Caenorhabditis elegans: one gene and its partners. The gene in region 2 interacts genetically with the main gene of each other region. Each region holds a gene or a part of one and is shown on either strand. Other genes may lie near its edges.

The links.
Region 1: of pos-1 (region 2) and mes-6, a change in one rescues a mutant of the other (synthetic rescue), as found in Caenorhabditis elegans (one study listed by BioGRID).
Region 3: of pos-1 (region 2) and mes-4, a change in one rescues a mutant of the other (synthetic rescue), as found in Caenorhabditis elegans (one study listed by BioGRID).
Region 4: of pos-1 (region 2) and mes-3, a change in one rescues a mutant of the other (synthetic rescue), as found in Caenorhabditis elegans (one study listed by BioGRID).

What each region holds. Positions count from the first base shown.
Region 1 is NC_003282.8:8,509,642-8,514,003, forward strand, and holds mes-6 (Polycomb protein mes-6), read left to right. Parts: upstream 1-1,642; 5' UTR 1,643-1,795; coding exon 1,796-1,990; intron 1,991-2,044; coding exon 2,045-2,275; intron 2,276-2,315; coding exon 2,316-2,489; intron 2,490-2,533; coding exon 2,534-2,718; intron 2,719-2,901; coding exon 2,902-2,982; intron 2,983-3,060; coding exon 3,061-3,420; intron 3,421-3,531; coding exon 3,532-3,685; 3' UTR 3,686-3,781; downstream 3,782-4,362. Other genes in the region: FYVE, RhoGEF and PH domain-containing protein tag-77, read right to left, coding at 758-899; C09G4.4 (uncharacterized protein), read left to right, coding at 3,782-3,836, 3,892-3,946, 3,999-4,125; cks-1 (Cyclin-dependent kinases regulatory subunit), read left to right, coding at 4,309-4,362. UniProt on the Caenorhabditis elegans protein: Polycomb group (PcG) protein. PcG proteins act by forming multiprotein complexes, which are required to maintain the transcriptionally repressive state of homeotic genes throughout development.
Region 2 is NC_003283.11:8,412,268-8,415,798, forward strand, and holds pos-1 (RNA-binding protein pos-1), read left to right. Parts: upstream 1-1,817; 5' UTR 1,818-1,826; coding exon 1,827-2,225; intron 2,226-2,277; coding exon 2,278-2,673; 3' UTR 2,674-2,987; downstream 2,988-3,531. Other genes in the region: vha-18 (putative V-type proton ATPase subunit H 1), read right to left, coding at 1-88, 132-618, 663-877, 931-1,066, 1,111-1,208. UniProt on the Caenorhabditis elegans protein: RNA-binding protein that coordinates cell fate specification and differentiation during early embryogenesis.
Region 3 is NC_003283.11:13,432,544-13,439,381, forward strand, and holds mes-4 (Histone-lysine N-methyltransferase mes-4), read right to left. Parts: upstream 5,003-6,838; 5' UTR 4,971-5,002; coding exon 4,955-4,970; intron 4,906-4,954; coding exon 4,639-4,905; intron 4,588-4,638; coding exon 4,331-4,587; intron 4,282-4,330; coding exon 3,707-4,281; intron 3,659-3,706; coding exon 3,355-3,658; intron 2,925-3,354; coding exon 2,574-2,924; intron 2,296-2,573; coding exon 1,894-2,295; intron 1,841-1,893; coding exon 1,709-1,840; intron 1,344-1,708; coding exon 1,191-1,343; intron 1,139-1,190; coding exon 899-1,138; 3' UTR 507-898; downstream 1-506. Other genes in the region: srd-17 (Serpentine Receptor, class D (Delta)), read right to left, coding at 1-171. UniProt on the Caenorhabditis elegans protein: Histone methyltransferase. Dimethylates 'Lys-36' of histone H3, a specific tag for epigenetic transcriptional activation. Plays a central role in early development and is responsible for all H3 'Lys-36' dimethylation until about the 40-cell stage.
Region 4 is NC_003279.8:4,995,108-5,002,882, forward strand, and holds the start of mes-3 (Polycomb protein mes-3), read left to right. Parts: upstream 1-1,731; 5' UTR 1,732-1,736; coding exon 1,737-1,788; intron 1,789-2,409; coding exon 2,410-2,628; intron 2,629-2,688; coding exon 2,689-2,852; intron 2,853-2,903; coding exon 2,904-2,988; intron 2,989-3,534; coding exon 3,535-3,786; intron 3,787-3,833; coding exon 3,834-3,978; intron 3,979-4,285; coding exon 4,286-4,412; intron 4,413-4,464; coding exon 4,465-4,583; intron 4,584-4,682; coding exon 4,683-4,739; intron 4,740-5,129; coding exon 5,130-5,244; intron 5,245-5,293; coding exon 5,294-5,580; intron 5,581-5,626; coding exon 5,627-5,750; intron 5,751-6,447; coding exon 6,448-6,707; intron 6,708-6,754; coding exon 6,755-6,818; intron 6,819-7,048; coding exon 7,049-7,243; 3' UTR 7,244-7,775. UniProt on the Caenorhabditis elegans protein: Component of a Polycomb group (PcG) complex. PcG proteins act by forming multiprotein complexes, which are required to maintain the transcriptionally repressive state of homeotic genes throughout development.

The DNA of each region.
Region 1 (4,362 bases), on a different chromosome or scaffold from region 2:
AGTGTTCACACAAGAATGACTATTTTAATCAAATGTTGGCGATAATCCAAGTAATTAATATAAGGACACAACCCAATTTTCTAAAATTTATTACTAGTACACTTCTTGGCGACAAAGGAGTAAAATCTGTCAAGTGGCACCTTTAGGCAAACAATATTGCGAAAAGCCTTTATACTTCTTTTTGACTACTTTCGCAATCGGTCACGCGTCTGTACAGATTTGATAGGAACTTTGAAGAAAATTGGGCATTTTTCGTTAACAAAAAGCAATAGGAAGAAGAACAGTCAAAAAACAATTTTAACACGGAAATCAGTTGTTCTACGATATTGTAAAAGTTAATAGAAAAAAAAATGATAGTAACAAAATATTTATGAATTTTCGTCTAGATTCTAACAACGAATATATAAATTGAAATGAGAACTTAATTTCCTTTAAAAATTAATTCGATTCACTGTTGGTGGAGTTTAAGGCAGATTTTTTTTTCGAAAAATTGACTGTTTTTTTTAACTCACAGAATCATTGTCAACCCGATTTTCGGTTCTCTCTTTTTCAATACTATGATCATATGATCTATTTAGTTATTATCAATAAATACAGACATAAATAGTTTTTAAAAAAATTATTTTTTAGTTTTTTTTTTCAAGAAATTTCGTAACTTTTATTTTCTCCACAGATAACAAAGCAAACGAAGTTTTTTGCTACGCCTCAATCAATTGTCGACAGTAAATACAAGACGTCTTCTCTGTTTCAGACTCACAAGGTGGCGGTGGTGGTTGCTTCCGGAATCTGTTGTCTCCGTCGTCCAGTTTATTTTGAAACTCTGCCATCATTTCTTTGACGGTCCTAGACGCCGGTGGAGTATCATCAGAATTTTTGCGATGGTTCATGTCATATTTCATACAGGCGATCTGAAAATAACTATAGCTCGTTCGAGATAACATTTTGGCTAAAAAATTGAAGAAAAAACGATAACACTAAAATATTATGAAATTAAGAATTAGTAATGAACGGGAACAGTCACAGCATGAGAAAAAGGCAACCGCTAGAAGAACAGGTTGAAGCAACAAAAAATCACACAAGACGCAGAGAATCAGGCATTGGAGACGCAGGGATATGGATGAGTCAGCAGCCGACGAAGACAAATTCGAAATAGCAAAAATGAAAGAAGTCTACGGAATTCACAAAGTGGATCTTTTGATATAAGGACAATTTTACTAAATAATAAATATGAATGAATACCCCCAAGTTGATCGCTCTGAAATCTGAAAAAGACCACAAAAACATTTTTTTTAACTGACAATAGCTCACGTAGCAATATAGGATCATACAAAAAAAATATACAAAATTATTAGTTTCGCTCCTTGCGAAAAAAGCCGAGTACAAAATCTACTTAATCCCGTTCGAATCCACTCCGAAATTGGAAGTGGTACTTCACGACAATACAAAATTTAAGCTGGCAACTGTCTTTTCTATCATATTCCCAATCGAAATCACAAATACCTCCCGGAACTTTCGAACAGAATCCAAAATGAGAACAAAAAATTGTAATAAAAAAATAACACTTTAAAGGTGCATGAGGTTATGCGCTCGTTGGGTCTCGCCGCGCTTTTCACCACTAATGCAATTTGAACGAGAAATGCGCGCGAGCGGCCATATTTTAGTTTTTCTGTTGTTTTTATTGTCATTTTTTTCCTTTTTCACTGCAAATTTGATAGTTAATCGACTTTTTTATGTTTTTACTGTGAAGTTTTTATTTTGTTATATATTGTTTCTTGCCTTTTTCCCAAAAACCTGAATGGAGCACACGAAAAAGTTCAAATCATTAAATCTTCACGGGTTTGATCGAAGTACAGAGGATTACGGAAAACGACCTTTTGTACTAACTGCCAAGCTACTTGAAGATCAGAAGAAAGCTATTTACGGATGTGCATTCAATCAATACGCAGGAATAGATGAGGAACAAGCGGTTGCAACTGTCGGAGGAAGCTTTGTAAGCGTTATTTAGCAGGAAACTGACAATGAGGTATAAATATTTGTTTTTCAGCTTCACATGTATTCTGTTCCCATCGACATAAATAACATTGAGCTGCAGTGGTCTTGTAATTTTCCTACCGATAAATCATCAAAGGTCGAACGAGAGGAGTCGCTCTTCACTGTTACCTGGTGTTACGACACATATGAAGCTGAAAACGACCGAAATCCCTTTAAAGTTGTAACGGGTGGAACTTTGGGTCACATTTACGTTATCGACTACGTCTCGAGGAAGCTGTCGAATGTAAATAATCAAAAATTACTGAAATAATTTGGAGTTTTAGCGTCTTCGGAGTGTTGGATGGGAAATCAATGACATTCGTACGTGTCCTGCCAACTCAAATCTGATTGTCTGTGCTTCATCAGATCAATCTATCCGGATTCATCATATTCGAAACGAAGCATGTCTGATTGTTATTGGGGGTCTCGAGTGTCATGCTGGAACAATTCTTTCTGTGGTTGGTTTATTAAATTTACTTACGTTTCGAATTTCTCATTTTAGGATTGGTCAACCGACGGAGACTTCATTTTATCGTGTGGATTCGATCATCAACTCATGGAGTGGGATTTATCTGTGAAACAAGTAAAGGAACATTTGGAACGAGCGTGCAAAGCTCTTCACCAAGATAAAATAAATGTGCTAACACAATCACAAGATATTCCGTATGTTTCGAAAGGAACAATGAGGTAAATCAATTATTCAGCTAACATTTTCTAGTTCCTTCTAGTATTTGATCAGTCCTTAACGCGAAAATTGTTGCTGTTGTTGTATATAAAAATATTTTTGAAACTTGAGTTTTGGATAAAAGACTGGTAAATAAAGAGACCAGGGCTATCAAATCATAATGTAATTCATTTTTGTATTTTTAGAAAGTCTGCAGTTTCTCGCAACATTCCCGACAAAGAAGAAGATCAATTGCTCGAACTTCACAGAGAGCTCATACCCCGACCGTACGTTGATTTTCGGCATCCATTACTTTTTTAAAGTTGTTTCAACGAATCTGGTTCTATCGTTTTCTTCTTTTTCAGGAGCTGCCTTCTTCCAATTTATACTCCATCCTCCGTATCAACTGATATGCATTCTGATTATGTGGATTGCATTCGATTTCTTATCGGTACTAACTACGCACTATCAAAAGGATGTGGCAATGAAAAGGCAATTCATTTTTGGAGATTTGGGCCACCTAAGGGAGAAGTTGAAAATCGCATTCATGGAAATGTTCTCCGTCCAAAGTCGTGTACAACGAAATTTCGTACAATGAATGTTCCGAGTGGTTCTGCATGGTTTATCAAATTCGCCGTTGATCCAAGAAGACGATGGCTGGTGTGCGGTGGAGCTGGTGGTTCTGTGATGTTTTTCGATTTGAGAAATAATGAAGAAACCAATCCGTAAGTAAAATATCAAGAAAAATAATTTCTGAGATGTTCGATATCTCTTAAAAATTATAGAAATATTTTTGCTGTGATTACCAGTATAAATTCCTGTTTTTTTTTTTACAGGACTCACACTTGTTCCGTTGGCTCACGTACAGTTCGGCAAGCTTCTTTCTCTACATGTGGCCGATTCCTAGTACTAGTAACTGACGAAGGATTTGTTTGTCGATTTGATCGTGTATCTGCGTCTGTCGACGCTAAGGACCTGGCAAAATTTTGAATATCATTCCTTCTCACCTTCAATTTTTTATATCTCGTTGTGATTTCATCTTCGATCATCTTCAGTGGATTTTACATTACAATTTTGCAGTTCCTAATGTCATCCCCAACCTCCTCTAAGGATTATTCTTCACCTAAACATAGCTTTATGTGTGAGTTTCGAAGAGATTATTTTCGTTTTCTGATTATCTAATTTTTCTAATTCAGTGACAGTCGACAGCAACTTACAAAGTGACAAAAAGAAGACGTTTTTGAATGTTCAGTGAGTTTTGAAAATTTTATTAGCTTTCATGTTATTACCTTTTTTATTTCAGATCATCTTCCTCTGCTGGGTCAACCAAGCACTGTCAAATTCCAATGTCAAAGGACGAGTATTTTGAAACACGCGGGAAACTCGACTCTGTTGATGTTATCGATCAATTCAGACAGCGTCAGCAATGAGCATTTATCGATTTGTCTGTACATGCAGTGTTCCTCACCATTCTCACTCTTGTCTCATTCCCATTCTTCTCTTTTTTTTCAATATTTTTTATTCTTTCCTTATTTTTGTCCGTTTCTATTTCCCGATGCTTGTTAATAAAATGAATTATTTCAGAGTCGCACCTTCTCACGCCAACCAACAAAATGACAACTGGAAACAATGATTTCTACTATTCAAACAAATACGAAGATGATGAG
Region 2 (3,531 bases):
CCTGTCTGAGTTCATTTTCGTATTCATCGAAAGATGTCAGCACTTGGACAACTTTTTTGAGTTCAGTCTGGAGATATACCATATCTTCCTGCAAACTTATAGTTCGATGAAGTCTTTCACTAATAAATTACCACAAGGTCCACATCAGTAAATTTTCGATTCTCCAGATGATCCAGTTTAGTCGGAATACGATTTTGAATCATTTGAAGAGCAGCTTGCTTTTTCATGTAAACATCCTGATTTGAAGTGATAAGGTTCCGCAGTGTGGATACTACAATTCTGATTACTTTTTCCTTTTGACAATTGCCCAGAATTCCAGATATCGTTTGAATAAGATTCCCAGACAAAGCCACTTCTGCAGCATGTCCGTTGAAAGTGAGAAGCCACATGCAGAAAATTATTTGGTACTGAATTTGAAACCCGCATTTTCGAGTCGAATATAGAGCATGAGTCAGTGAGTCGTAGCCATTGATGTTGACAAATGAAACTCGATATGGATCGAATCTGAATAAAGTTTGCATGCATCTAACTGCTGTAACAATGTAGTCGTTGTTTGTTCCTCTATTCATCGCCTCTTTCAAAGATCCCATGCAATAGTCAAGTTCGTCTCCAGATAATCTGAAATAGTTAGAATTAATTAATGTATCTCAAGCGTATCCAACTTTATATTTCCAAAAACAGCCATTTTTGTGAGAATCGAGAATGTAATATGTACAATGTATTGATCTTGACGATGGAGAAGACCCATGAAAAAAGAAAAGGGAGATCTTTTCAGAAGAACTGCAACGTCTTCAAAAATAATTGTTCTTGTGACGTCTTCGCGGAGCATATCATCGATCAGCGTTAGAGTGTACCTGACGTAATCATCTTTCGAAATCTGAAAAAAAGAAACTAATAATTTCGAAATAGGCTTATGAAATATGATTTCACCTGAGACATCAGATGAACAAAAGCGTACACAGCCTTTTCCTTGAAAACCGAGAGTACTGTGCTCCGTTCTGCCTCGTTTTCTGCTTGTTGATAAGTCACGATAAAGTCGTAATCACTTTGAGCAATCATTCTTGTTCTGAAAAATTACTACGTAATATGGAAGATAGATAGTAAATATACCTCGTGAAAAGTCCCCAATTGGTTTTCATTGCTCGAACTTTGTCGGCTTCTTTTTGAAAATGAGTGCGAATGAGATCCTGATTCTCCCCAAATACCATTTTGAAACTGAATCAAAGAAAATTAACTTTTAAAATGAGGACAAACACAGAACGTGGAAAATGTAGAAATGGAAAATCACGGTGGTACAGCAGCTAGATGAGTGCAAATGCGCTCTACCGAACAAACCCAAATTTGACCGGTTAGGAAATTTTCAATCAAAAAAATTTTCAATAGAAAAGATAGAGAATTTTCTTGCGGCCATTTTTCATATGCATCGCAAATTCAAATTTGGGGTTAGTTTTCGAGATAGCAGCCAATATAGGTTTTCAGACTGAGTATCATAAACCAAGCCATCTAGTTTCTGTGCTACCATGAAATCCAACACGGCGATGCGAACACGCTCTATTGCGAAAATTCAAGTTTTTTTTTTCAAAATTTCTCAAAATTTGATCATGATTTCGAGCGGTATTTTTTAATTTTTACTTTTTAGTTTCCGCGAATTTTTGATAAGTAAATTTTTTCGCTCACTCTTTGTTCATTTCATTCAGATGTTCCATTTCAAGGATTTTTTTCCTTTTTATTTTCTTTTCTGCCGGTGCTCCCAAGTTTTCTTGATTTATATTCTCTTCTTTTTCCATCATCATCACAGTTTGTAAATTTATTTTTCTAGATTCAAAATGGCTGACAACGATTTCCTGAGCGGTGAAGCAATCATGGTGTTCAAAAAGGAAATCCTTGACTCCCACAGCGATTTTACTCGATCGCTTTCACATCAGTCAGCATCCCCCGAAGCATATGATCAAGAGAATGTATTTTCTCAAGACTTCCAACCGTTCATGAAACAAGATAAGGAGACGCAGAATTCGGCTTCACAGCCAACTTCTGAACAATCGTTGGCCAATCGTGATCCTTGCACAGTTCCCGATGACCTTCGTGAAGAAATGATGCGTCAAAGGAGAAAGGAAGATGCATTCAAGACGGCTCTGTGTGATGCTTACAAACGCAGTCAGGCATGCTCATACGGTGATCAGTGCAGATTTGCTCACGGCGTCCATGAGCTTCGGCTTCCAATGAACGTAAGTAATCGTTGATCCTACAAATTTCTTATTTTATGACTGGAATTTTCAGCCTCGTGGGAGAAATCATCCCAAGTACAAGACGGTTCTTTGCGACAAGTTCTCGATGACTGGAAACTGCAAATACGGAACCAGATGCCAGTTCATCCACAAAATTGTCGATGGGAATGCCGCGAAGCTAGCAAGTGGAGCTCACGCTAATACTTCATCCAAATCACCAGCAAGGAATGCTGCCGCACACAATCATTCACTCTTCGTGCCTCAGGGGTCGACAGATCGAAGCATGGATCTCAATCAGAGTCTACCAATCCGTCAATCAGATCTCGTTCGTGCGTTTGCTCGTGCCACCCGTTTGGACGTATCTGGATACAATTCTACGGCTCAATTGGCACAATATTTCGAAAGCCAATTCCAGCGGATTCAGCAGCTCTCCTCCCATCATCACTAGTTTCTCTCGTCGAAATTTCTGATCTTGACTAACATGTACTTTCTATTTTTTACTTATGGATTATATAATCAAGTCCAATAACCTGGTGCAGTCCCAAGGACATCATCAATAATTTTCCCCATTTTTGTCGTTCTTTTTCTTCTCGAGTCCGACCCCAAAATGTTGTATTCACAGGCTTTCAAAACTCACCCCCACATTCCCACATTTGTATCTAGTCTGTATATTATTGTTATCTTGAATTTTACCAATGTTTCGTTCTCAATTGCATAGCCCTCGTTATGTGGACTCATAAAATGAAATTTCTCGTAATCAGCATACAATTGTTTCAAGTTTTACGGTGCCTCTGCGGTATTAAAAAGTTCATAGAACCAGCTTACGGTACCATCATTTCTCAAGATTCTCGAGCTTTTTTAAAGACGCACGGATTTATTCAGATGGGTCTCGGCGCAAGAAAAGTTTATGGTAGTTTTTATTTTTGAGGCTCTCATTTCTCAATGAATATACCCTTCATTTTTCTGTGAAAATTTTCTTAAAATGAAATAAACTAATTGAGAAATGCAAGAAAAAAAACGAAGAGGCAGCCTCAAGTATTCAAAAAAGACTTCCATAAACTTTTGCGCACCGAGACCCATTTGAATAAATTCGTGTGCCTTTAAGAAGGCGTGCAAAAATCTTGTGAAAAAACAATAAAAATTAATGTTTCCAATATTTAAAGCGCTCATTTTTATATTTGAAAACAACTGAATATTTCGTTTAAGGTTTATTACTTTATACTTTCCATCTCACAAAAATTGAGATGAGTACTGTAACTGACTGACGTGTTTGTGTTGTGTGTGAGGAAAATCAACTAGTTTCACA
Region 3 (6,838 bases), 5.0 Mb from region 2:
CAAATCCAAAGCACACTCGAAAAAGTCGGTAACAGCAAAATTGATAATCAAAGTTGCATACGAACGAATTGTCTTCGGTGATTTATAGATAGCCATGTAAATGAGCATTAAATTGAATGAGCATCCAAGTAAAGCCCATATACAGTGCCATATTTCAAAGAACGCGTGCATTATTGAATTGGCAAATGGTGCAAGACTGAAATTTTTAGAATTTTGTCGTATAACAAGCGAACATAAAATAATTAATGAATGAATTATCGCTTCCGCTCAAATGGTTTCAGTCTTCTTTCAAGAAGTCTATCCGAAGATCCTTTGTTATTGTGCATAGGGAAATTAAATGACACGTGGTTTCTCAATAATGTGCATTTTTTTACTTCCGAATCAAAATCTTTAGCAGTGATTCATCGACTCCAATGTCTTTTTTCAAAACAAGTCGTTCCATTGTGTTCTTCTTAATCTTCTCCAGTTTCTCTTTATCGTCATAAAGCAGCGCTTAACTCTGTTTTGTAATTTGCAAAGGTATTTATTACAGATGAGAAAAAAAAGTCGTATTTATCGATATGATGGGACGCAGTAACAAGAACGAAAGAACACATAGGGAAAAAAAAATGACAAGTGAATGAAAGCAATGGTTAAAGCAATAATAAAACCCCTAGTTTAGTGTGAAAATAATTTTCAAAAAAGATGAATAGGAAAGTCTTCGTTATTCTTTGAACGTTGGTCAAATGAATTTCAGCGTTTCCAAAAATTGTGTCGACAGTCCAGGAAAAACTCATAGTACGATTAAAAAGAATGAGGGCACTGTTGATTGAAACTAATTGAAGTAAAATCATAATTTAGTACTTGGAAGACTATTGGAAAGAGTTCAATTGGGCGAGACAGCATATTATTTCACTTTTCAAATCGGTTCAAACCGTTTTGTCTCTTTTTGAACTCGTCCACGAGTAGATATTGCTCTAACTTTGACCTCCACAGTATGAGGTGATGGAACTGATTGTGTCGACAACGCTCGTGCTTTTGTGATAGCCGACTTGGTTGCAGGAAACTCTATCGCTTTTCCGGTTTCTTGAATTGTTTGCAATGATGGCGTAGCTCGTTTCACAGGTGGCGCTTCACTTTCCACATCATCTCGACGGCTCTGTGAATATAATCGAATATAATCGATATTAATACTAATATGATTATCGTACCTTTGATTTTTGTGCCCGTGGTGTTGAAGATGAAGCTGCGCGCGATCGCGATGAAACAGGGCTCAAGAGTTCTTGCGGTTTTTCGTGGAAATTCAACTCTGTAGATGTACTCAATGTTGATCCGGTGTCGGCTACAGGTTGATTGGAATTCTTCTGAAAAACAAATTATGTTTAATGGCTATGTACCTGAATTGAAAATTCGATTTAGACCAAGTTAACTCTAGCAACCAAGGGTGCCATCAAAAATCGAATAATTAAAATTTTCTATTTCCGAAAAAACTCGAAAAAAATGTTTTAAAAATTAACCATAAAGTTCTTTTTTTTTAAAATCAAATTATGTTTATGTTGATGAATAAAATAAGAAAACATTTTTTTAAATTTCTCTCTAAAAAGAAGAACAATTACAAAATTTTTGAAAGATATTTTTCGTGAAAACGAACATTTTCGATTTTAGTGAAAAATCGAAAAACCGACATCATTGCTGGCAGCAATTGATCGATTTAATCTCCAAAAAATACCTTTAAATTTTTCTTATTCTGGGAAATTGGCCATGATGCTTGTTGGACGAAGGAAGTGCTCGACGCGGAGCTTGTGGATGGTTTCGAAGGAGAAATTTCTGATTTCTTAGATGCGGTTCCGTTCTTTCCGGCCTGAAAATAAGAAATAAAATCAAAATGTTGAAACTTAGAAAAAAAGTTGGTACCTCCTGGCTCTTTCTATTCTGATTTTTTACAGATTTCTTCTTGGACGATTTGTTCTTTTTAGCAGCTTTCTCGGAACTATCAGCCACTTCCGGTTTCTCGCGTTTCGCTTTTCCCATTGTACCCATACAGTTTTCAGCTCCACATTCACAGTCTGGTAAGTTCTCCTCATTGTTCATATTGTAACTGAACGTGATCTCGTCGCCGTCGTCAATAGTGCGAATTGCCCGAATATAACTGCGAGTATCATATAAACTGCCTTCTTTGGTTTTCTTAACGAACACTTTTGTAACGAAAGATGCAGCGTTGGGATCGCAAGAATGATTGATGTATCTGGAGATGTTACCGTATCTGGCAGCGTCCACGGTTAATCCTTTGTGCAATTCCATCATATAATGGTTCGCCTTGAAAAAAAAGAGTATTTGGAAAGTTATACGTTGATAACTTAACTCTGATATTTTGCTTCTTAGACCTAAATAGCCCAAATCTACCAAATTTCGTATTTTTTTCTGAAAATGACAATTGGCAAAATATAAAATTTTAGCTGGAAATAGGCATTTTCCCAAAACTTTGAATCGCCGTAACTTTTTTTTGAGAAAATTTCAGAACGTTTTGTTCTAAAATTCGGTTAAAAGAAAAAGTAAAAATTCGTGTTTTTATCGCAAAAAAACTTTTTCCTTACCTGGAAATCTCGCGAAATTGAAACCGAATCCAAGCGCCTCTTCTTTTCAGCTTTATCGATTATTTCTCCAACGTACTCGCATATGTATTCGTCTTTTTCGATTTGACCTTTCGCAAAGACACCGTATCCTTTACACAAAGTGGCTGCCAGTTTGATTTTCTCGCTAACTATTCCCATGGAAACTTGACGATTATGACAAACGCCCTTTTTCGAACAACTCGGGGGACATTCATAATCATCGGCGAGATATTGACACGACAGCTTTGTACAGCGGTCAGCTCCTTCACAATTGCAAACTTCGTTGTTGTGATACTCTTCCAGTTTTGGTTCGCATTTGTAGTACACAGATGTCTGGAATTATGAAGAAATTGCTATAAATAAATCTGAATCGGTTAAAAGTAAGAAAATAATTGTTAAGTTTTTCGGCAATTTTTAGCTGAATTTTTCTGCAGCACTGTTTGCACTTTTGTCCCAAAATGGTCTAAAACTACCAAATTTCGTAATGAGACATTCTCATTTTCCTCCAAAAAGAAGTTAGACGGTTCAAAATTTTGGAAAAAAATGACATTTTTTCAGCTAAAATCTCAAATATTGCAGATCTGACAAATTTCAGAACTTTTTTGTTTTTTTAATTTTTTAAAAGTAATGTTCCGTTGGTTGAGATATTAACTTTCGTCGGTTCCGCAATTTTAGCTGAATAAAAGCCTTTTTCCAAACCGTTGAAAAATACAAAACCATAGTCCGAATTAGATATTTCCTGAAGAATCAGTAGAATACTCACTCTCAGTCTTCCAAATACAGTTTTACACACGTACGGGCATCTCTTCAACGCAGTATCTGCTTGTTCCTCATATTTCTCTTCCCACAAGTTTCTAAGCGTCGAATTCTTTGCCAACGAAAAGTAATTCTTGGTAAGACGGGCGATATCCGAGACCGGCACAATTGACATGAGAGGTTGTTTCTCTTTATCATTTTCTTGGGGTATCAGCCACTGGACAACAGTATATCCAAGACGTTCAAAGTTGATATTACCACGATTTCCAGTAGGGTACTTGTACCAATCGAGTGTTAATGCTAGCCAGAATCTGAATAGAAAATACATGAATTTGATAATTCTGATATTATAAACGCACGAATTGTCCGTCCACTTCGCGAGAATCAATGTATTTTGCGGAATCGGATCTCCACAAACACACGATTCGCATTGATCGTCTGGTATCGGTTTTCCATTCAGCGTTTCCACTTCTCGACATCCAGAATGAAACGATCGGCAACAAGTCTTGCACATGATTGTTTTTGAATTCGAAGATTTCTCACATCCAATTACGCAACACGCTTTGATATGGGATTTCATTGTAACATCCGCTTTCGGAACAACAGTGACGGCGTTTTTTCTTTTTTTATGTTTATTGTAGAATTGAACATCAGCACCAGGTAGATAGTGTGCTGGACAAATTATCATTTCGAACTTCTCCACTTTCCCACCAATTGTTATCGAAACATTCAAATCTCGGCCACCTGATGGATAACACGACGTCAAATGGAAAGCGCGGAGACAGAGAGCACATTCTGCAATATCTCCAACATAAGCCGATTGCTTGTGATGGTCCAAATTGCAACTATTGCAGCAATGAAGAGGGCACAGAAGTCTTGCTTGGCATTCGAGTCGGGCTGCATATTGAAAGTGAAAGCCGCCACTGTTGTAATTCTAAAAGTTTACACGATATTTGATGAAGAAAAATAATCGAATAGCTTACGATCATACAACTCGCGTGAAATTTACTACGACAAGGAAACATTGGTATATTTCCCAAGAGACGCTTGCCGTCGTCCATTTCTCCATTGATGTATCCATGACATGTGATCAAATCAGATTTTCCGGTTTTATCCTTCTCTTCGTGGCAAATCACGCATTTTGAGTCAGCATCTGGAAGAAACTCTCCTTCCGCGTCGGCTTCAATCGGGGTGAATGGCGAAACACTCAGAAACTTTCGTGGCACGTGGGTGAAGGTAGCTGGAAAATTGAAAATTTAATGGACTGCCTGGAATTAATTAATGAAAATACTTTTTGGATAATCTGTGTCAACGAACTCCTCATATTCACTAAGAAATGCCTTCGTTTCCTGTATTTGCATCGAAATAATGTCTTTGGGAGCATTCGTTAGAATCGGTGCTTCTTCTTGCTTGTCTTCTGCATTGGATGAGGTTTCGGAACCCGCGCCTTGTGGAGTAGCATTCCGTTGTTTAACGTTCTTCTTTTTAAAAGGTTTATTTGGTCCTTCTTTCTCAACGATACCGTCCTGTGGAGCACAGTTCTCTTTGCTGGAGTCACCTGGAATTCGATGCATTTTTCGACCTGATTTTCGATTATTTAAACTCACCAGAGCTCGGCAGCATAATTTGGCACCAAGCGCGAGAAGTAAGCAACTCTGAAAATGAAATTAGAATATGAATCGACTTTTTGACAAGTATTAATAAAAGAAAAACAGAAAATGAGACGTTATTCAAGCTGATCGAGGACACATTCGAAAGTCGCGCCTTACAACGATACTCCAAAATGACGGAAGCGCGAATTGTTTAGTTTTTGAGAAATATATGCATTTTTAAAGGAAAACAGCGGAAAACTATCAAAACGGTGATTAATGGAGATTCTTAAGAAAAAAATTTATAATTGTGCGTCCATAGGCTGCGGAAAACGGGAATTTCCCGCGGTCCGAGGCGTCTACAGTGAGAGGGGAAAACGAGGGAGTTTTTCGCTTCGCAATTGGTCAGTTTCAAAAAATTGGGCGTTTCCAACGAATCAGAGGCTGCAAAATTTCAAGCTGAGCAATGAAAAAGCGAAAAACTGCAGGCCCCACCTACTTTTGAATTTTGATAGAAAAAAGGCGAAGAAACTGCACTATGGACGCCTCAGACCGCGAGAAATTTGAATTTCCGTTTTCCGCAAACTATGAACATTCCTTTTAAAAAATATGCCAAGAAGGTTCGAAATCACGGGAAATGCAAAGAAAATCGCTTGCAAAATCCCAAAAAATTGCTGCAAATTTGATTATGTAAATAAGGAGACCCGAAGAACTCGGGGGATGTCCAATTGGGGGGATTACCAACTCGGGGGATTGGCCCCGCCCACAGAACCGTGGCATGCAATACGCCCATTTCTGCAACTGCCGCACGGTTTTAAAACTGTATTTTTCTCAATAGAACGAGAAATAACAAGAAAAAATAATTTTAAAACCGTGCGGCAGTTGCAGAAATGGGCGTATTGCAAGCCACGGTTCTGTGGGCGGGGCCAATCCCCCGAGTTGGTAATCCCCCCAATTGGACATCCCCCGAGTTCTTCGGGTCTCCTATATTCACATCATTCTCGCCATACCTGTGCGGCATTCGGCATTCGGCATATGCCGATGCCGGCATAATGCCGGTTTTTGGAGCACGGCATATGCCGTTATGCCGATTTGAAAATTCACGGCATATGCCGAAAATGCCGTTATGCCGAAAAATAAAATGACCGGCATAACGGCATAATGCCGACATTATGACGGCATTATGTCGTTTTTTTCTGCATTTTTGGCTTTGTTGTTTTTTGTCAAAAACCATATTTTCATAATTTTCGTGTATCCGACGAAACATAAAGATCATGCAAATAGTAAAGTTTCTACGCAGATTGTTCCATTTTTGAGATTTCTTGAAGCTTTTTGCTCGAGCATTTGGAAAATTTCTGCAACAATTTTGGCTTGACTCGAAAATTGTCTGAAAATGCACCAATATGTTTCAAGGCGTGTACATTAAAGGGGGAGTACAGTTTGTGGGTATTTTGCTTAAATAGACTAAAACTGGTCCAAAACCACCGAATTTCATAATGAGACTTCACAAAAAATTTCCAAACATTTTTATGGCCGGTCAAATTTTCGAAAAAAAAAGAGCCAAACTTTGCTAAAATCTAAAATTTCGCACACTTTTCTTTGTCACAGCTGCTGAATTTCTGTTTTTCTGAAATTATCACCCTTTAATCCTTATTTTAGTAATTTATCTCGCGGAAATTCGTTGATTAAGACAACTTTTGGGCCGATAGGCATCCAAAAATGATCAAAATTGGATGCCTAGCGGCCCAGAAGTTGTCTCCATCAACGAATTTCCGGCGAGATAAATTACCAAAACAAGGATTAAATGGTGATAATTTCAGAAAAACAAAAATCCAGCAGCTGTGACAAAGAAAAGTGTGCGAAATTTTAGATTTTAGCAAAATTTGGCTCTTTTTTTTTCGA
Region 4 (7,775 bases), on a different chromosome or scaffold from region 2:
ACAATTAATAAATTGTTTAATTTTGGATGTTTGTAGAGGTTTTTCGTGTTTTCTCATGATTTTACGGGAATCCTTTTGATTTTTTTGGTTAAAAACAAATTATTGGTGGTCTATGAATGCATTTTTCACTGTAAAATAGTGGAAACCGCCGTTATCCTCTTGAGAAAGTTCTAAAGTTCCATAAATTGTTCAGTTTCGCGGTTTTTCATTGAATAATTTGTAATTATTGTTTTTCGAACGTACAATTATCAAAAGAAAATCACGAAAAATCGCCAAATATTCCAAAATTCGATCGAATGGAGGTTTATTCTTCATTCCCTTCAAAATAGATTTATAATAATCTCTTGTTCGAACACTCCCTCTTCCCGCAGCGAAAGTGTAATAAAATGTCCAATAATCTAGCTAGATCTAGTTCAATAACTCATCAATTATATTGCCCTTTGATGTAGTTTTATAATGTCATAAAGTGCACACTTCTAAGAGTGGGCAGCTAAAAAATGCACTTGTTGCTCTTTTTTTCGCACCCTTCATACTTTTTTGGATCGATTTCTTTCATTTGATATTCATAATGACCTAATGTTTCCGCTGTACACTGTATCTGCACTCACGTGATGGGTCTCGCCACGGTAATAATATTACAAAATGATTTTGCCTATGCGTCTTTGAGTTTACTGTAGAAAATTAGTAATACATTTTTCAGCTCTACTTCTTTCTTCGCAGATTATTTTTCTGTGAGAACAAGAATACACAATTTATCCATTTCCATTCAATGAAAATGTATGACAGCGTGATTTCGATAAATCAACAATTGAATCCTTTTTCTTTAAACTTATAACTTCAATTGACATATTTTTAATTTCATTGTAAAACTTGGAATATAATTTCGTTGGTTTCAGTCTCTCATCCGTTCCAAATTATAATTCCAAACTCTCGAACGCGGAGACATGCGCACGCTCCTCTTCCTTTCCCTCGAGTAGGCGTCGCTCCTTCTCTTTTATTGATTTGTCGTGCTCTCCGCTCTTGTTTGAACGCGACCAATATGACTCATTTTTTTAATATTTAAAGTTTTTAAGCACATGCATAGTGCATTGCTCGCTTTCTACCTCTACGCGTTGTTCATGGCTCTAAAAACAAAGAGCGTACATTTTTTGAAATTCTATTTAAATAAATAAAATTATTATTGAGAATTCATCCGAAATATCTGTGAAATATCAAGCCAAACATATTTTTTATAATCCTAAAGTTAATAAAATTAAAATAAAGTATAGTCATTTTGTAAATTTGCTCAAAATGACAGAAAATGGACCGTAATAACCAAATATAGATGTTAAACATGCATAGAACTTTTCTAAATTTTTTTTTTAATTTTGCAAAAAGGTTCTTACGGTACATTTTTAATCAACCATTAAGTTTTACAAATCTTCATAGGTATAATTTTTTAATGAACAAATTGTTTGACTGGCAATAACCACGCATTCCTTCATTCGATTCCTTATCGAACCAGCCGTCTGTCTGAATATGATGTGAATTTCTTTTTTATTCTGCGTCTCCTCAATTGACATACTCTCTACTCAGTTTCCCAGAACGAAGTCTCTCTCATCTGACATTATATCTTTTTTGCGCTGTTCGTTTCACATTTTTCTTTCTCTCTCTCTCTCTGATTGGCGATTTCGAGATAAATCGATAATCTCGATCTTTGCTAAACTATTTTAAAACACAAAAAATCATTGCAGGGTATGACTCCGGCGACGGCAGAGGTGAAAGTTGGAGGGAGAAAACGGAAGAATGGTTAGTTGGAGAATAGGACATTTACTGGAATTTACAAAAATCAAATTCTTAAAATCAATTTTTAATTAATTTTGAAACATAAATCCCAATCGCGCCGAGACCCGCGTATTCTAACACAACGCTCACCTTTAAAAATAGTTAATTTTTTATTCGAGAAACTCGGCCTGAAACTTTTTATTTAACTTCTTGTTTAAATTGTAATTTAAACTATTATAATTAAAGTTTTTCCTGTTTTCTTAATTTTTCCACCAGTGAAAATTATTTTCGGCAATTCTACAAAATTACCTATTGTGCCATTTTGTTCCATCATATTTTATTACAAAACAGTGTCAAAAAATAGAAAATTACTTGAATTATCTAAAAATAACATTTATTTAAGCTGAAAAAATTTGAAAAATTGTTCAAAAATGGCTTGAAATTCGATGTTTCGTTTAATCAGCAATTGGCAACTCTCAGGCCATTTTTGAACACTTTCCCAAAATTTTATGCTAAAATAAATGAAATAAATGTTATTTTCAGATCAATAAAGTAATTGTCTATAGTTTGAAATTAATTTTTTTTCTGTCAAATTATAGTAATTTTTAGCATTTTTGAATTAATACTTTAAGCTTATTTTTGCAGATGAGCCGGTTTTTATCAAGACAAAACAATCGAGGTCAGCTCGTCGAGAAGAAGAAAAAGAAAATCTTTTGAACAAATCTCTTCCGTCAACTCCAACTTCATCAGAGGCCGGAAGTTCTCGGGAATCTTCAAATCCAGTCACAAGCTCCAGTAGACGAAAGAATCCACCTACCAAATTAGAAAATATTCAAAAAACGTTGCCGACTTGCAGTGACGGACGTTAGTTTTAAAAATCATTAATTAAAATCTCAATTTTTCTATTAATTCACATTTTTTCAGTTGAAATTCGCAATTATGTGAAAAAATATGGATTGCCGGAAGATAACAAGTTTCTCGTTCGTAATGTCTTCGACAAACAATTATTATTTGGAAAGAAATATGTGTGTAGAAGGCGTGTGATTAAAAGCATCGATGAATTTTTCCCGCGACTAAAGACCGATGCGGTTTGTTTGAATTTTTGATGGATTCATTTGCAAAATAAATTTTTCTTTCAGCACAGAGAAAATGGTTTATATAATTTCTGTACTCTACAATTCATGAAAATATCCTCCTGGGGAAGTTCGATGGATGAGAAGATTTGTTAGTTTATTTTTGAAAATTTTGAAAAATTTGAAACGAAATCTCGATAAAAACACTTAATTCGAAAAAGACCAACAGAAAATCACTTTGAACTAAAAATATCTATTCAATATTGATTGAAACCATATTTCACAAGAAATAAAAGTCTTTTTGAAATTTGGTTTTAAAAAAAATTATTTTTTTAATTAAAAAAGTCAAAAAAAATTGAAAAGTTCTGATTTGCATTATAAAACAAAAAATGAATTAAACTCAATAAATATATAGCCAGAAAACGCGAAAATGTCGGAATTCGCTTTTTTTTTCAGTTTTTGCAATTTCCTAAAATCACACAAAATTTATAAAAATTATTTTTTTCCTATAGTTTAAAGCAAATTTAATGATTTTGAAATGTTTGAGGTTTTTTTTCAAAAAGTAAGAACAATATTTCCAAAAAAATGAAATTATTTTCTAATTGTAAATTAAGATTCAAAAATACACACACACATAGTTTTTTTCGGTTTTAAAATTATTTTCTCATTAATTCATTAAAAAAAAGAACATTTTCAGATGTTACTTCTGCTGCAATTGTTCAAAGCTACGTGATAATTGTCGACGATAATGATTCAGTCACCTGCATTGAAAATGGAATCTCAGTTATTCCAATGGCGAATAGAACGTTACCATCTATCTCCTATAACAGTTCAAATGTAAAAAATATCACTTTGACGGGCCCTGAACTGAAAAAGGCAAAAAACGTATATCTCGCAGTGATTGTGAAACGAAAAACACCAAAACTTGGAGAAAATCGAGTTGGGACAAGTGAGTGAAATCATTTCTTTTTTTTAAATAAAAAGTTTCTTTTGTAGGAGGAAAATCAACTCGAGCATCATTCGAAACGGCTGCTTCCTCAGAAAACTTTCAGCAACTTGTTCGTTTTGGGTGCACTTTGATGTATGATAAGGATGCTGAAATTAACTGCCTAAATGACGGAGTTCAACGTATTATCTTACTGTAAGTCGCTTTAAAATTATAAATGCAAAAATTTAAAAACTTAAAAATTCAAAAAAAATTAAAATACTTTAAAAGTTTTTTTTTCCAAAATTTATCCGAAGGTGAATCTATAAAATTAAACTGGCCTGCTAATTTTTTAAAAAGGGGGTTTTCTGAAGATTTTGAGCGAAAACTGTTGTCAAAATAAATAAAAAACTGAAAAACATTTTTTTTCGAGAAACACGCGCTCAAATTGACGGGTATACGGTAGAAAATATTTTTTCAAAAAAAATTGTATAATGAAAAATATTGCTCTTGATTTTTCCAGTGATCGAGAAGAAAAGCCAGCGTATTTGAAAATTTTCGGGAAGGCCGATGAACCGGAACTCGAGAATGCTTGGATGAATAATGTTAAGCATTTGGAGTTTATAAGCGATACAAATTATAACAAAGAGGTAACGATGAAGAGTTAATAAACTTTTATAAATAATTGATTTTTTTCTACAGGATTCTCATCTCGCTCGTCTAATCTTCTCTTCAAATACTCATAATTATTTCGATAGACCGGACATTTCAAAATTCTCTCCATGGCAGCCGCGATCCAGAAGGACGACACTAAAATCTGGGTGAGAAATTCGATTTTTTCTCTTTTTTTAATTTTGTTTTTATCTGGTTTTTGCACGACCGTAATCCCGCACGCTTATTGTGTTTTCCATCATTTTCAGAATCTCCGTCGAGCCAGGAACGAGTTGCGATGAGGATTGTGGATCGCAATATGAAGAGTTCGTTTTTGATCCCTACCACCTGATTTTTTGTTTGAATATCTAATTTTTAAATCACTAAGTTTGCTGGATTTTTTCCCTTACAGAATTTCTAATTTCGGGTGCATTTCTTCTTTTTTCTTAGTTGGCTGTAATTGATACCTTCCAAATAGCTTGTCGTGATTTTTGAAAACCGTGAAGCTGCATTTCAGAATTTTTGAGTTAAAACTGGGGGGTTTTGTCCAAAATTACAGAAGGCAATCTGCATACACCGGATAGAACTTCAAAAAAAATCATCTAAATTTTATAGTTAATCACTCACTACATTGGATATTCGCGGAACTTCATGTTTCTATCCAACCATAGATCATCTAACTGTTCTTCAAAATTGTTTAGAAAATATAATTACAGTACAATCACTCTCAAGCAGTTACTCCTTGGAACGAAAAAGCTATGCGGAAGACGTAAGAGACATTTGACCCGACTCACTTCAAGATGGCCGTGTTTTTCAGTCGATCCGACGAAGGTAATTCTTAAAAAACTATAATTTCAAAGCTTAAGTGCAATTATTTCAGATCAATTCATATTTCAATGAAACTGGTGTCACTTTGCTGGAAAATTCGTGTTCCTACCGTCCTGGAACTCAACGAAGCATTCCAATAAAACCTACCCGAGTGATCAGAGTTAGAGAAGAAACTCCAGTTTCCGTTCCAATTGAGGTTATTACGATTGAAGATGATTCAGATGATTCACCATGTTTTTCTGCGAGAAATCGAGCACCAGGTGGAACACGGAAATATGGATTAGATTTTATACAATCTTCGGGTCATATGCCATATATTCGTTATGTTTATATGAACAGGTAATTTGATTTAATGCAATCCAGTAAAAAAATATATGATTTGCAGAGCAAATGACTTAGTGCCCCAGCTGAATGGCGAAGAAAATGGAAAAATCGAAGGTCTTATGGAAGCATATCCGATGAATAATGCTCACATGTATTCAGATATTGAGTTCCTGAGAAAAGAAAAAGTAAGAATTGTTTTTAAAAAAAAGACATAAAAGTTGTAATAATTTTCGCTTTTTTCACTAAAATCGAAAATGGAATTTTTTGTTTCGATTTACTGATTTTTGCAAAAATAAAACAAAACTTTAAGATTTTTCTTTTTTCCGATATTTCGAAAAAATTGCATAATTTGTTTTCTTTTTAGAAGCAATTTGTATGTATTTCTGAAAAAGCGAACAAAATTGTTTCCTGAAGGCGAAATCTATTTTTCCCTCAAAAACCCAAAAAAAAAAAAAAAAGTGAGAAAGGAAAAATTGAGAACCTTTCATTATATTTTTTGAATTTTTTGAATTGACTCCAAAAACAGGAAAAAAAAAACAAAAAATCCCAGCCTTGATTACGATATTAAAAATTTTCTATTGTGACATGTTGCTCCAACAATTTGTATTTAAAATTAATGTCAAAATATAGAAAAACACTCGAATTATCTGGAAATAACATTTATTCTGGCTGAAAATTTTGAAAAAGTACTCAAAAAATGTCCTGGAAGTTGCTGATTGCCAATTATCGAATTATTGAATTTCAGGTAATTTTGAACACTTTCTCGAATGTTTTAGTTGAAAAAAAGTTATTTTCAGATAATTCTAGTGATTCCTGCACTGAACACTAAAAAAAACTTGTCGCCGCAAACAAAAAAAATTAAAGCAAAATTACAAATTTCAGTTGAATCTTCCGAAGAATGCTCAAAAATATGGCGAAATGACAATTCTTGACTATCCACTAACGAAGACGGAAACGGACGAATATAATAAAAAGATGTCTGTGATGAATGTCAAAGATTTTGCGGTTAAACCCAGAAAACCTATTCCAACAGTCGGAAATACCACTTTAAGTTTGGATTTGGAAGGATGTCCTATATCGACATTTTCAGAAATATTCTTCCCAAGTGGAAAAACTGAACTATTCAATATTCTATGCAGACAGTAAGTGTTATAATATTAAGTCATATATTAAAACCCAATTTTTGAAGTTTCTACTCTGAAGCTGGACAACGCCCTGGATGCTTCTCAGCACAATGGAAATCTAGAGTTTTGGTGAGTTTATTGAACATTCAGGACTAGATTGGCAAACGTACGGAATTGCTTAGTACAGTATTTTTGAATCAAAACCTTTAAACTTCTTTTCAACGAAAATGAAAATTATTTTCAGAGTCTTTGATTCTACAAAAAATGAATTAGCGTACTAAAATAAGCATCTCAACACTTTTGCCAAGATTTGCCTTAACTTAGAACGCATTTTTGAATTTTTCATAAATAATTTTCAGACTGGCTTCATCAACAAATACCATCAGTACATTTTCGACATGAAATTGAATTCTTTATTCGAGAAACAAATAAATCTCATCGCTATGGTCAGCCCTGACTGGAAATTAGAAGATTTTGAATTGCCCATGGTTCGATATAAGCAATTGAAAAAAGAATGGAAAAATCGCCAACGAGATATACCATCTTCTAATTAGATTATCCCCTTTTTTCCTTGTATCTTTTTCTTTTTGGAAATCCTGTGTTTAATCTCTTTTCCATTTATCAATCAACTATACCAAATCGTGGTGGGTGGCAATTCTACTAAATGACATTAAAAATTAGTCTGAAAACATAGAAAATAATTTGATTCTTCTGCAAATAACATTTGTTTCAGTTGAAACACTTGAAAAAATGATTAAAAATTACCTGGAAGTTGGAAATTGTCGAATTTTGCTATTCGGCAATTGGAAACTTTCAGACTATTTTTGTGCAATTTTCAAATCTTTCAGCTGAAATAAATGTTATTTTCATATTTTTAAATAAATTAATTTTCTATTTTGAGACTAATTTTTAATGAACAATATTGGCCAATTTATGGAATTGCCAAAAGTAATTTCCACCCACCGCTGATCCCAAAAATACTACAATTTTTAGCACCTTTTGACCCAAAGAACGTCGTACTTCAATGATCTTCCAGATTACACGAGTCATCACTAAGTTTTTCTTCATTTCTTTTTCTTTCATTTA